Caenorhabditis elegans: one gene and its partners. The protein of the gene in region 2 interacts with the protein of the main gene of each other region in a pairwise test. Each region holds a gene or a part of one and is shown on either strand. Other genes may lie near its edges.

Region 1 (5,667 bases), about 15 Mb from region 2:
GATTGAACTCGATCCTGAAATTTCGGCGTGTTTGTCGGCACTGGTCACGGCATAATGGACAGGTCATTAGAAGATTATTAGCAAATTAGCAAATTAGCAAAATATTAGCAAATTATTACGTCTGACTCTTGATACAGATTGAGCATAGCGAATGGCCACATCGCATCATATAGGCACGTCGGGTGTTACACATTGTCTCAGCACAGATTGAACAGGCTTAAAATTTGTTCAGCTTGATAGACAATGCAACTGCTCTTCTTTTTCGGCAATTGTAGTGGCAACCTTTTGCTCCAAAAGTTTGATGGTAGACTACAATTGGACGATAACACGTAACAATACAGTGGTATTGTTCATGTTGACGATGTCTAGATGAAAATTAAACACCTTTAAATACCCCCGAGTCTGTATCCAGTTTGCGGATTCGCCATACTCAGATTTTGCCATACTCACCACTGACAATTGATTGTGAAACAAAATAAAACAGGGTCTTACAAAATAAGAAAGGAACAAAGGGGCCAAGTGCCAGAAGCTTCAAGTTGAATCAAAAAACTGAACTTTCAGCAATATGTTTGACCGAACTTTTTTAGATGCACCATAACCAATTGTTTAATGATAAATAAAATTGGCCAGCAAATTCATTCATTGGTAAAATAACATAATTAAAGTCGAAATTACAATTTATTTCAAAACGTGCATTCTCAAAAACATATGACCAATTAAAACAATTGCTCGTCTTCCATCACATCTATAGATATTTCTTGCGCTGTGAGCTCCTGTCAAAAATATCCGTGGAAGATTGTCTAAGTCGTCTGCACATGTATCCTTGTGCATTATACCCTTTAAAATTTCATCCACACGGTTTCTGTGTATCATAACAAAAGCAGATTCGAGTGCATAAAATCCTCCGTTTATCCAATGTGTTAAGAATATATTTGCTTGCTTCGAACACAGGTTTCTGAACGCTGTCAAGTGTGCACAGTTTACACTCAGAAGATCAGTGAGCCCGGCGGCAACAATCAATCTCTGGCAGTGTGAGCTCAACATTGAGCGGTATCCTTTGAAATCTGGTCAAGTGATCTCAAGGTAGCCAGTGGAAACCTTATAGACAAGCCTGTGAAGCCAAACATTTTGAGAGTCACACTGTAGGGTAGTTCTAGGGATTTCCAAGCCGTCAAGAGCTTCATAAATTGGTTTCCAATCGTGATCATCACTGCGCACAATGAAATACTCAAATTTATCCGTATGTAGTACACTTTGGAAATGATCCAGAAATGTTTTCAGGTCAACTTCCAGAGGGTTCCAACCAATATCAAATCTTCTACTGCAATAAATAATATGCCATTTTGGTATAATGTGGTTTAACTTACTTTGTCTTGCCATTAACAACTATATAAACACATTTGTTAATATAAATCACAAAAGGGATCAGCCTGAAGATTCAACGATTCTGCTGCCCGTTTTGTAGATTTTGAAATGAGAGAGAATTTTATTCTGAAATAGAACAATTTTTGATTGGACAATAAAGGAGCTCTTACAATTCTTCCAAAGTCAGACTTTGAATCGCTATTTTGAGAGATTTCTCAGGTAGTTGGAGAATCGGGAAAGAGGCGATGGTAGTCATCAAAATAGGAAAGAAATAATAATGAATGGTGCAAGACCGAATGCACAGTAGGGAGGAATTACCGATTTTCTACGTGCCAAGCGGGAAGTGACCTCACAGCTGTCGATTTTTCGAATGATAGACGTCGCTGTCTGCACAGTGAGCGATGTGAGCACTTCAAGACGCTAGACTTTCTTCAAGACGCTCCCCAAGGACGAAGGGCCCGTTCGACTATCACCAGACAAAAATGGAAACTAGAGGATTCGATCATATATTCAATCGAAACAATTTGTTGTGCATTCTTGCCCAGATTCATTCATTACTACACCTATCCTGCTGCTGGGAACACTGCTGCTGCCTTTTTCCAATTCTTTAAAAAATTCCTAACGAGGATCTCATGGGAGCCCTAGCTGCTGCAGTGTTTTGGCGACTACGGTACGCTGTTACGCAAACCGCGCAATGACAACATTCACATTTGTTTGGCAAACGAATTTTTCCACAATATTTTTACAAAATAAAATAGGAAGCAAGGGACCATAAAAAAACAAACAATTAATCTAGTCACACTCACCAAAAACCGTGTCCGAAACGGTCCGTTTACTGACCGGGTAGGGCTCATATTTAAGATTTAAGTGTAGGCCTTCTACGAAGGTGAGGCGCAAAAAGGGCACACGACGCCAGCCCCACTCCCGCAAACCCGCGCTTGCGCATTATCACACTCTGTGTACTGCGGCCGACGCTACGCGGGACCTCGCGCCACTATAGCTGTGTGCAACAGAAAAGGGCGGCGGGAGTGTGGGGCATGTTGTGGGGCGTTGGGTGGGTGAGAGTAGCGCTCTCCTGAAAGGTCTTGTCAGGAGATCACCCATCAGCTTAGACCCTTTTTTATTTCTCTGGGCTCCTCCGAGCTCCGTTCTTGCTCCTGACCGTCTTCCGATGACCCTTAGCTGTAGCCATTCTATCTGCCTCAGCCTAGGGTCAAACCTACTGCCTCTCTGCTCAGAGCAATTTCGGTGAACTTGCCACAGAAAATTCTCCTGAACACCATTGATTTACAAATTTTGCATGTATATCATAATTAAAATTGGTCAGCAAATTCATTCATTGGAAAAGTCTCATAATTAAAATGAAAATTACAAATTATCTCGAGATCCAAACCTGCATTCTCGAAGATAAAGTATCAATGACAACAGTTGCCCGTCTTCCATCACATCTGTAGATATCTCTTGCGTAGTCAGCTCTTGGCAAAACCCACCGTGGAAGAATGTCTAAGTCCTCTGCACTTGCACTTGTATCCTTGTGCATTATACCCTTAAAAATTTCATCCACACGGTTTCTGTATACTATAACAAAAACAGATTCGAGTGCATAAAATCCTCCGTTTATCCAATGTTTTAGGAATATTCGCTTGCTTCGAACACAGATTTCTGCGCGCTGTCAAGTGTGCACAGTTTACACTTAGAAGATCTGTGAAATCAGCAAAAATAGTCAATTTCGGGCGGTATGAACTTAAAATCGGGCGGAACTGTTTGAAGTTCCTAAGGTTGATCTCAAGGGAGTGTCTGGAAAACTGATGGACAAGTTTGTGCAGCCAGACATTTTGAGAGTCACATTGTATATTGGTCTTCGGAATATCCAAGCCGTCAAGAGCTTCATAAATTAATTTCCAATCGTAATCATCACTGCGCACAACGAAAGACTCAAGTTTATCCGTATGGAGTACACTTTGGACATGATCCAGAAATGTTTTCAGGTCAACTTCCAGAGGGAACCAAGAAATTCGGTGATAGAAAGACGTTATACTGCAATAAAAAATCAGTGAACTTGTTAGAATGTGGTGCAATGTTAGAATGTTAGAATTAGTTATGGTTCAAGGTTAGAATGTGGTTCATAAACCCTTCCATCAATGTTAAGCCAAAAGGGGTTAGCCTGAAGATTCAACGATTCTGCTGTCCGTTTTGTAGATTTTGAAATGAGGGAGAACTTTATTCTGAAATAAAACAGTTTTTTGATTAGACAATAAAGGAGTTCTTACAATTCTTACAACTTCAGACTTCGAATCACTATTTTGAGAGATTTCTCAGGTAGTTGGAGAATCGGGAAAGAGGCGATGGTAGTCATCAAAGTAGGAGAGAATTAATAATGAATGGTGCAAGACCGAATGCACAGTAGGGAGGCATTATCGATTTTCTTCTACATGGCGAGCGGGAAGTGACCTCACAGCTGTCGTAATGGAAGAATACATGTAGACGTCACTGTGGACGCAGCGAGCGATTTTGTCTGACCGTTTTTTAAATATTTAATTGTAAGCATTCCAATTTCGATAAAATTACATCTGAAGTTGTTCCTAGTAGTCCCAGTGTTTCTCAAACGTACGCTTCTACAAACTTGTTTTTTTTTTCAAAGTCAAAATTCATGGGGCTTCCTGGGATGGTTTTTTTTAAGTGATCAAAAGCTTACATCTCGTGCTTGGCTTCAAATTTACTAACACACTGGAAATATACATGAAATCATTTATAACAGGAATCTTATCAGAAAAAAGATCAAGAACAAATTATTTCCAAACGTACATACTCAAACGAATGCCTTCAATGACGACAGTGGCCCGTGTTCCAACAAATCTGTAGATGTCTACAGCAAACTTGATATCCGGAAAACGCATCGGCAGTGTTTCCAAATCCGATACGCTTGTCACCTCCAGCTTCACACCCTTGAACACTTCATCCAAATTGTCGATATCAGCTCCAACAGGAAATACAACAGATTCAAGTGGCTGGAATGCTCCCTTGATCCAATGCTTTAGGAATAAATTCACTTCCATTGTACTCATAAGGGGCATCACTTTTAAGTGTACACAGTTTACACTTAGAAGATCAGTTAAACCAGCGACAACGGTCAAATTCTGGCGGTGTGAACTCAACATTGGGCGGTACCATTTGAAATTTGGCATAGTGATCTCAAGGGAGAGCCTGGAAAATTGATTGGCAAGCTGGTGGAGCCAAACATTTTGAGAATCACGTTGTAGACTGGTCTTAGGAATATCCAAGCCGTCAAGAGCTTCATAAATTAATTTCCAATCGTGATCATCACGTCAAACAAAGAAATACTCAAATTTATTTGTATGGAGAACACTCTGGAAATGATCTAGCAATGTTCTCAGATCAACTTCCACGGGGTTCCAAGGAATATCCTGTTGATAATTTTCTACACTGCAATAAATACTCTGTGAACTTGTTGCAATATGGTTTAACTCACAAATTGGCATGAACCGATATATGAACCGATTCACCAAAGCAAATCCAAAACGGGTCAGCCTGAAGATTCAACGATTCTGCTGTCCTTTTTGTAGATTCGGAGATCAGAGAAAACTTGATTCTAAAATATAACAGTTTGTCATTGGAAACTTCGGAAAATCTTACATTTGTTCCATAGTCAGACAGCGAATCGCAATCTTGAGAGACTTTTCAGGCAGCCTGAGAATTGGAAAAGTCGTCATCGTGGCAGGAAAGAAAGGTAATAATGAATGGGACTAGACGCATATGCGCACAGTAGCATATGATCGATTTTTTACATGACAGGAGACCTGTCCAGCTGTGGATATGTTAAAGGGTAGCAGATGGTACGATACTGTTGACGAACACTAGTCCGCAGGTATTTTATAGTAACAAGCTGTAAAAGTGAGTAAGTTTGTAGAAATCAAATTTAAATTTAAATACTATCGTCGCGAAATATTAAAATTGAAATTCTACAAGGGCGGGCAGGTTGGAGGCAGGCCCTGAACCCGAGCCTGCCTCCCATGGAAGCCCTACCCATAGCAAGCGCGCGCACTGTGCAGTGCATTTTTTTTCCACTTCTACGGCTTTAAAGGGAGGCGCTTTTATGCGGAATGGGTTTGACGTGCATTAAGTCATCATTTTCCGCAATTTCTGTGTCAAATTCGCGTAGAGCAAAATAAATTTGTTGATCACAATGAAAAGCCAGCAGACATACGAATACGAAATATGAGATAAATATTTTGTGATCTACTCGTGATCTACGCGAATTTTACACAGGAACTGCAAAAAATA
Region 2 (2,906 bases):
ATAGATTTAGTAGTTTTAGTGCAAATTGCACTGTGATTTTTTAAAACTTGAACAAATAAACATTTCATAATTCAACTCATTTTTCTCAACTCAACATCAACTTAGAAATGTTATGTGTGAAGCAGTAACAGATTTTTAAAATTGAACTCATGGTGAATGCTTTCAACATTCTCCAAAACTTGCATTGAATGGTGTGGAGCATTTCCAAAAGTTTAACAAAATCACCCGATGTTTTTGCATCCAAGACCAATTTTCAATAAGAAAAATAATCGATGTTTGATTACAAGTATGGTGTTCTTTTTTCAAAATTTTGAACATAAATTTTATTTTCAATCAAAGTGGAACATGAAAAGAAAAGAAAAAAGTCATTAAAACATCAGAAAATTAAGCAACTTCTACGGCACCTCCCTCAGCAGCATCCTGTTCGTCCGTATTGATTCCGAAAATCTCTCTGAGTTCAGCTGTCGTTTTGCCCTTTGCCATGTTGGATACAGTCTTACAACCATAGTACATAAGACCCTTGATGTCAAGGAAGTTTGACGCCAGAATCAAATCGAACAGAGCTTCATCCTCAATTTTCAAGAACTTTTGATCCCATTCTGGAATGGTGAGGGTCTTGAGAACATTCATATTGTCCTCTGGAATTGCATCGGCGTTGTGCTTCTCACACCATTCAGCGACCTTCTCCATAGTCTTTCCATTCACATTAGTAACTGGAATTGGATCACGGGTCTCAATGTTTTCAATGGTATAACCGAGATTCTCAATGAGATTGCTGAGAGTCTTCGATTGTTGGACGGCTTTCTCGCTCATTTTTGTCACGACTCCATCGTTTGAAATGATCTTGTAAAAGATTTGGGCGGCTGGAGCATCGGAAACTGGAGCAGACATGGTGATGAGTATGTCGATTCTGAAAATTGAATTCTTAGATTGCGAGATGACTGGAAAATAGAAAATAGGTAAAGGTATCGATGGCAAACCTAACTGACTAGATTTAAACTAAAATTAAATGAGATTTTGGAAGATTATCGGAGTAAAAAAAAATTTTGACGTCACCTACAACAAGAGTGTAATAAGGTTGTAAGGCAGGCAAAAAAGGATAGAAACAGGAAAAGCAGATAGAAAACACCAGATCCAAGACAAGGAAAATTGCATAATGAATGGGTGAGTACAGACAATGCACACCGTTCTGTCAGACGCGCCGTTGAAAATGAATCGATAAGTTGCACAATGTGTTATAGAGTCCCCTCAGCCGAGCTAAAGACGAAGAACAGCTGCAAATATAGTAGTGTGTATGTACATTTTCCAATCAATAACTGACTTACCGCGCGTCCGATGGGTTACATTTGCAGCGTTCTCGTCGTTTAGCGAAAACAGTCTGTTCGATGGTCATTCTGTCGTTTGGCTCTCATCGCGAGCAGTCGCAATTTATTTTCTCTTACTTTTCTTTTTTCTTATGTTTTTTCCTCGTTTTCTACAGTCCTGGTCAAAAAGATATTCCTTTTATTTAGCAGTTTTGATAATTTTGAAATTTTTCAAATGGTTATAACTCTACTAAAAATGCAATTTTTCGTGAAGAACGAATGTTGAAAATATATGTGAACCAAAATTCAATTCTTTCTCGGTAGTTTCCCATTTTTCATTCTATCATTCCGCAATTTTACTCTCTTAAACTTCATCTGCACTCTTCAGCATATCTATATTGATTTATATCTTTCCAGAAATCACCCTAACTTTCAAAAATGTCTGCTGAAGCCGCCGCCGTCGAAGTTCAAGCCAACGAGGCTCCAATTGTCGCCCCAATCATGTACAAGGTCGAATCAAGTGATGGACAAGTCTATGAAATCAGTGATGAAGCAGTAAAGCAGTCGAACACCCTCTCCAATCTGATTTCTACATGTGTTGCCAATGATGTTGCTTCAATGGATCCAATTCCAATTACCAATGTCACCGGAAACATCATGAAGATGGTCATTGAGTGGTGTGAGAAACACAAAGGAGAAACACTTCCAGTTGAAGATGACAGTGTTCCCAAGAACATCACTGTTCCAGAATGGGATACCAACTTCTTGAAAATCGACAACGACGTGCTCTTCGACTTGATTGTTGCCTCCAACTTCCTTGATGTGCCTGGATTGATGAGCTATGCATGCAAGATGGTCGCCAACATGGCTATCGGAAAGTCCCCTGATGAGATGAGAGTTCTCTTTGCAATTCCAACTGATGAGGAGGATGAAGCTGCCGAGAAGGCTGCAAAGGAGAAGGCTGAAGCTGAGAAAAAGGCAATCACAGAGAAGGACGCAGCTGAACCATCAACTTCCAAGTAACTCCCACGTTCTAAATTTTCCGAGTTTTTGATCAAATAAATTCATTTCGCTGTCATTAAACGTTTTTAATCAAAAGAATTGTACGTACAGAAAAAAGTGTTGTCCTAAAATGATAAATTATTGTGTGAGGCTCGAGGCTCAAGGTGGTTCCAAAATACAAATTTATAGAACAAGACGTTTTGAAAATTTCTCGAAAATTTTTAATCATAGTTCACAGGAAGGTGCTGGCTTCCATGGTAGGCAGGGGCGGTTTCAGGGCCTGACGCCTGCCCGAAACCTGCCCGCCTTATGCCGGCCTTTCGCATAGGCGCGGATTGAGGCGAGAGGCGGGCGGAGGTCGCATTAAGGTCAGACAGGCAGGTGTTAAACGCCTATATAGAAGCCCTAGTCCGCTCCTAATTTAAATATTTTTCCGTAGTCGGCCGGGAAATTGTGGTGTTATTTAGTTATTTTTTGGATCAGAATTTTTGGATGTGCAGCAAATTTGCTGTAATAAAATTTGCGAAGAAGCTTCCCAAATCAAAAAATTTTCGAAAAAATGATTTATTGAATGGCTTATCGGGAAAACTTTTAAAGCGA
Region 3 (3,648 bases), on a different chromosome or scaffold from region 2:
ATGTACGTTCAAATATTCCTACAGACGAAGTAAGCAGATTCGTGAGCATTTTTGGACCTACATAAAAGCTTATAACTACCTTTTTAAACTTCAAAGCTAACGAGGATTACCAAGCTGCGATTTTACTTACAATTAAATTAAGAGATTTTCAGCTAATAATTTTCCATTTTCAGGTCACATTCTACCGCTTCTATCATGTTTTCAAAGACGGTGAACTTGCCGATTTAGTAGATTCCGTGGAGAGTCTAAAAGTCGTCTCAGCAACTTTTGAACATGGCAATTGGTGTGTAATTGCTGAAAAAGTGGCGGCAAATGTCATTCGACCATGAACATTAGGAATCATCTCGTATTGCACATATCCAAAGTTCGTTTGAGAACTAAATCTTATGATCTCGAAAAAAATAAACTGTATTTATGTAAATAAGCGTTAAAATCTTACAAATTAATACAAAACGTTTGAAGTTTATGCAGATTTTATCTTTCGCTTCTAACTAGGTTGCAGGTGGACATGGTGTAACGGACATTTGGAGCTCGAGAGCTCCAATGAGAAACCAATGGGAAAGCATAAAATTGAATACATACTTTTGACAAAACGCTGTTTTAAAATAAACATTTTGACAAAAGAAAAATAAAATAAATTTGAAGCTTCATTTAAACAGCATTTAAACTGGGAATCGATGAATGCTATGATTTTCTAGAGGCTTATGAAATGCGGATGCCTGTTGGAGAATAAGATGTGCTGAATGAAACAATCGAACTAAGCAGCGGAAAGAGTGTTTTTCAAGTCTTGTGAATCGAATAAATTTGAAAAGTTAGTGGGATATACTTTAAACCAATTTAAGACAGTTCGGAGATTAAAATAATTTATTCCACAGTAAAAGTTACTCAAAGAGTTTCATAGCCGATGGTCTTGAAATCGCATTCTTCATGACTGGGGATGGCTTCTTCTCACGTTGCTCCCGCTTCAAATCACCGATGATTCCCCACATATCGAAAACCATTCCATCCGGGAAATCGAACATTGAGAGCTCCGACTCTTTGATGGCTTCACTGAGTTGCAAAAGCGTCTCGCAGTTTGAAGCAGTTTCCCAGATTCTCATGGCCAGCTGATCATCTTGAACTCCCAAGTATTGGTCGAATATCTCATTGAGCTTTCCGCACATCTCAGCTTGGATCATCTGATCTTGAACATCCTCAACAGCAAATCCGCCTTCCGATTTGAAACGAATGGTTCCTTTTGCCAGACCTCCGCCAGTTTTTCCAGTCGTCTTCATGGTTCCTGGATCAGCAGTCTTTGGAGCAATCAATCGAACCACGCATTCCTCGCCGCGACGAACATTTTTCAAAATTCGGGCAACTTGGTAATGCCTTTTCCCGAGCACACATTCTCCATTGACCGCCTCAATGAGTTGACCAACTTGAGTGGCTGGACGCATACGATCAAACACCGAATCTGGGCTTATGACCTTGATAAATGCATTCCCGAGTCCGTTGTCCGTGATTGTCACTCCAAAGTTTTTAGCATCTTTGACGACTCGGAGCTCGGTTGCTTGTCCGCGAATGTGGGCGAAGAGCATATCCTTGAAGTTCAGTGTTCCAGTGAACATGTTCTTCATGTCTGGCTGAAATATTTAGAATAAGAATTTGACTTATTTATGTCAAAACTAACCTTAAAATCATTGACTGTCAGGAAAATGATATCATCTTTTGAAATTGTAAAGCAATCGGCAATTGATTGATACAATTCCTCCATATTGTTCCATTTGTCGATGATTCCAACTGGACTTCCATGAGCCATCTGGCAAGCAAATTTGAGCTGTCTTGCTGCCACCATCAAAGGATTGACTACTGTCATGATAGTAGACGATGATTCCTCGGCAATTGAATCCAATACGGCAGGCTGAATTGGAAGCACTGAACCGTGGTTGGAGCTACGATTGAAAGCTCCACGAGATCTCGAGCGGGTTCTAAAATATTCATGGTAACTTGAGACATAAGACTCGGGCTCATGTAATACATACCTAGAACGGCAGAATGGTGATCCTTGTCCTTGCATTGTGGAGAATGTTAGTAGTTGTACTAGTTGAAGTGAGTTGGTGTTAAATCGATGAATGAATCATTTTATCAAGAAACTGATCTTTTATAGGCATTGATGTGGGCGGAGCTTAGATGCCAACCAAATTAGAGTGCCACGCTGAGGAAGTTCATTAAAAATATAACTTTCGAATTTTATTAATTTTCGTGTTTTTCTTCATTTTGTTTTAAAACTGTAACACGTATAACTAAAGTAAATCGCAAACAATTCTCTCGATTTTTGCTCAATATCGAGGCAATTTCCAGATCTTAACACGAGTTAATTGTTCAACTACCGTACCCGTAAGACTTGCCCTAAAAATATTGGCTGCGGACTCTTCATGAGCTCAAAAAGGATTATGTGCTCATCGGAGGAGCCGAGCGATTTAAAATTGATATCTAGTTTTTTGTGATTTTAACTATTTGAAATCATTTATTTGAAGCAGTTCTTTTTATCCTGGGTTTCTTTTGTCAAACTTTTCCGAGCAGGAGCCCCGTCGACTTTTGAATAGTGATGGTTGGGAATGTATCTTGTGAAACTGAAATATCAGCCCAAGTAGCGACAAAAAAAACCAGAAGTATGAATACTCTCTATGAATACTGATAGACCTGATAATACGCTTTGTGACTATACTTCTGGCTGGCTCCTGGGCCATAACTATGGTGCAGGAAATTCTTATATTGAAACCCAATGGGAATTTTTTAATGAAAAATCTTTATTAAAAATCAATCCTCTTGAGTTCGATCAATTTTATTTTTTCTTTCCTTTTTTCCTTTCCCTTCATTCTCATCCTCATCTTTCGAGAAGAGATCTATTGTTGCTCCTGTCCACTTTTTCAGAATTTTCTGAGATCCTCCAGTGCTTGGTTGAGTGGGTTGGCTGAAAATATAATCATTTTCAGAAAATTCAAACTTAAAACATACACATCAGGAGTAAGAATATCCATATTACTCTCCCGCAACACTTTCTCTACGTCTTCATCTCTCGCCTTTCTGATTTGAGCAGCAACTACATCCGTTGATCCCATTGAGCCATTACTTGTCTTACTTGCCACTTCATTCAATGCTCCTGCGATATTGTTATTTTGATCTCGATTGTTGAAAAAGTCGAATTCTTTCTTATCACTGTTCTTCTTATCATTCACTTTTCTGGTTACTTGCATAAGAAGACCTACATTTGGCTCTTGAATGCGGAGACGTTCGGCGAGTTGCTGGAGCTGAAATATGAATAGAAGTGAGCTTCACAATTCACGCTCACCCCTCTCGACCGGAAGGCGCCTATTGCAAGAGGATGGCGATTACGTGATCATCAATGATCATTACGCCTCGGTCGGATGAAATATTTAGGCAGGGCCCGAAAAGGAAGATACGTTGAACCTGCACTAACAATCTGATCTAATGAACACAAACCTTCCACTCAGTGAACTTCAGCCATCGTACATTCCTTCGAAACCCGCAATTCATATATAACGTCATAAGCATTGTAAGGAGTGTCATGCATGTACAAGCAACAATCATCCATAAGTTTGGGCTGCATATTGCGTAACTGAAAAAAGAGAAGTTTGATAGAAGTTT

The links.
Region 1: the proteins of skr-7 (region 2) and F55C9.11 interact in a two-hybrid assay, tested with the Caenorhabditis elegans proteins (one large-scale study listed by BioGRID).
Region 3: the proteins of skr-7 (region 2) and gipc-1 interact in a two-hybrid assay, tested with the Caenorhabditis elegans proteins (one large-scale study listed by BioGRID).

The regions. Positions count from the first base shown.
Region 1 is NC_003283.11:19,305,963-19,311,629, forward strand, and holds F55C9.11 (F-box domain-containing protein), read right to left. Parts: upstream 3,730-5,667; 5' UTR 3,726-3,729; coding exon of another isoform or gene 3,640-3,725; 5' UTR 3,636-3,639; intron 3,595-3,635; coding exon of another isoform or gene 3,501-3,594; 5' UTR 3,407-3,500; coding exon of another isoform or gene 2,745-3,406; 5' UTR 1,622-2,744; coding exon 1,536-1,621; intron 1,492-1,535; coding exon 1,404-1,491; 3' UTR 1,368-1,403; intron 1,322-1,367; 3' UTR 1,045-1,321; coding exon of another isoform or gene 679-1,044; 3' UTR 632-678; downstream 1-631. Other genes in the region: F55C9.15 (F-box associated domain-containing protein), read right to left, coding at 679-1,044; C43D7.8 (F-box domain-containing protein), read right to left, coding at 4,692-4,809, 4,856-4,975, 5,020-5,096.
Region 2 is NC_003283.11:4,420,685-4,423,590, forward strand, and holds skr-7 (Skp1-related protein), read left to right. Parts: upstream 1-1,742; coding exon 1,743-2,327; downstream 2,328-2,906. Other genes in the region: Y47D7A.2 (Extensin-like), read left to right, coding at 1-4; skr-14 (Skp1-related protein), read right to left, coding at 385-891.
Region 3 is NC_003281.10:4,869,248-4,872,895, reverse strand, and holds gipc-1 (PDZ domain-containing protein), read right to left. Parts: upstream 2,119-3,648; 5' UTR 2,057-2,118; coding exon 2,022-2,056; intron 1,968-2,021; coding exon 1,670-1,967; intron 1,623-1,669; coding exon 882-1,622; 3' UTR 635-881; downstream 1-634. Other genes in the region: C35D10.12 (Methyltransferase type 11 domain-containing protein), read left to right, coding at 174-329; C35D10.3 (uncharacterized protein), read right to left, coding at 2,800-2,953, 2,998-3,290, 3,484-3,619.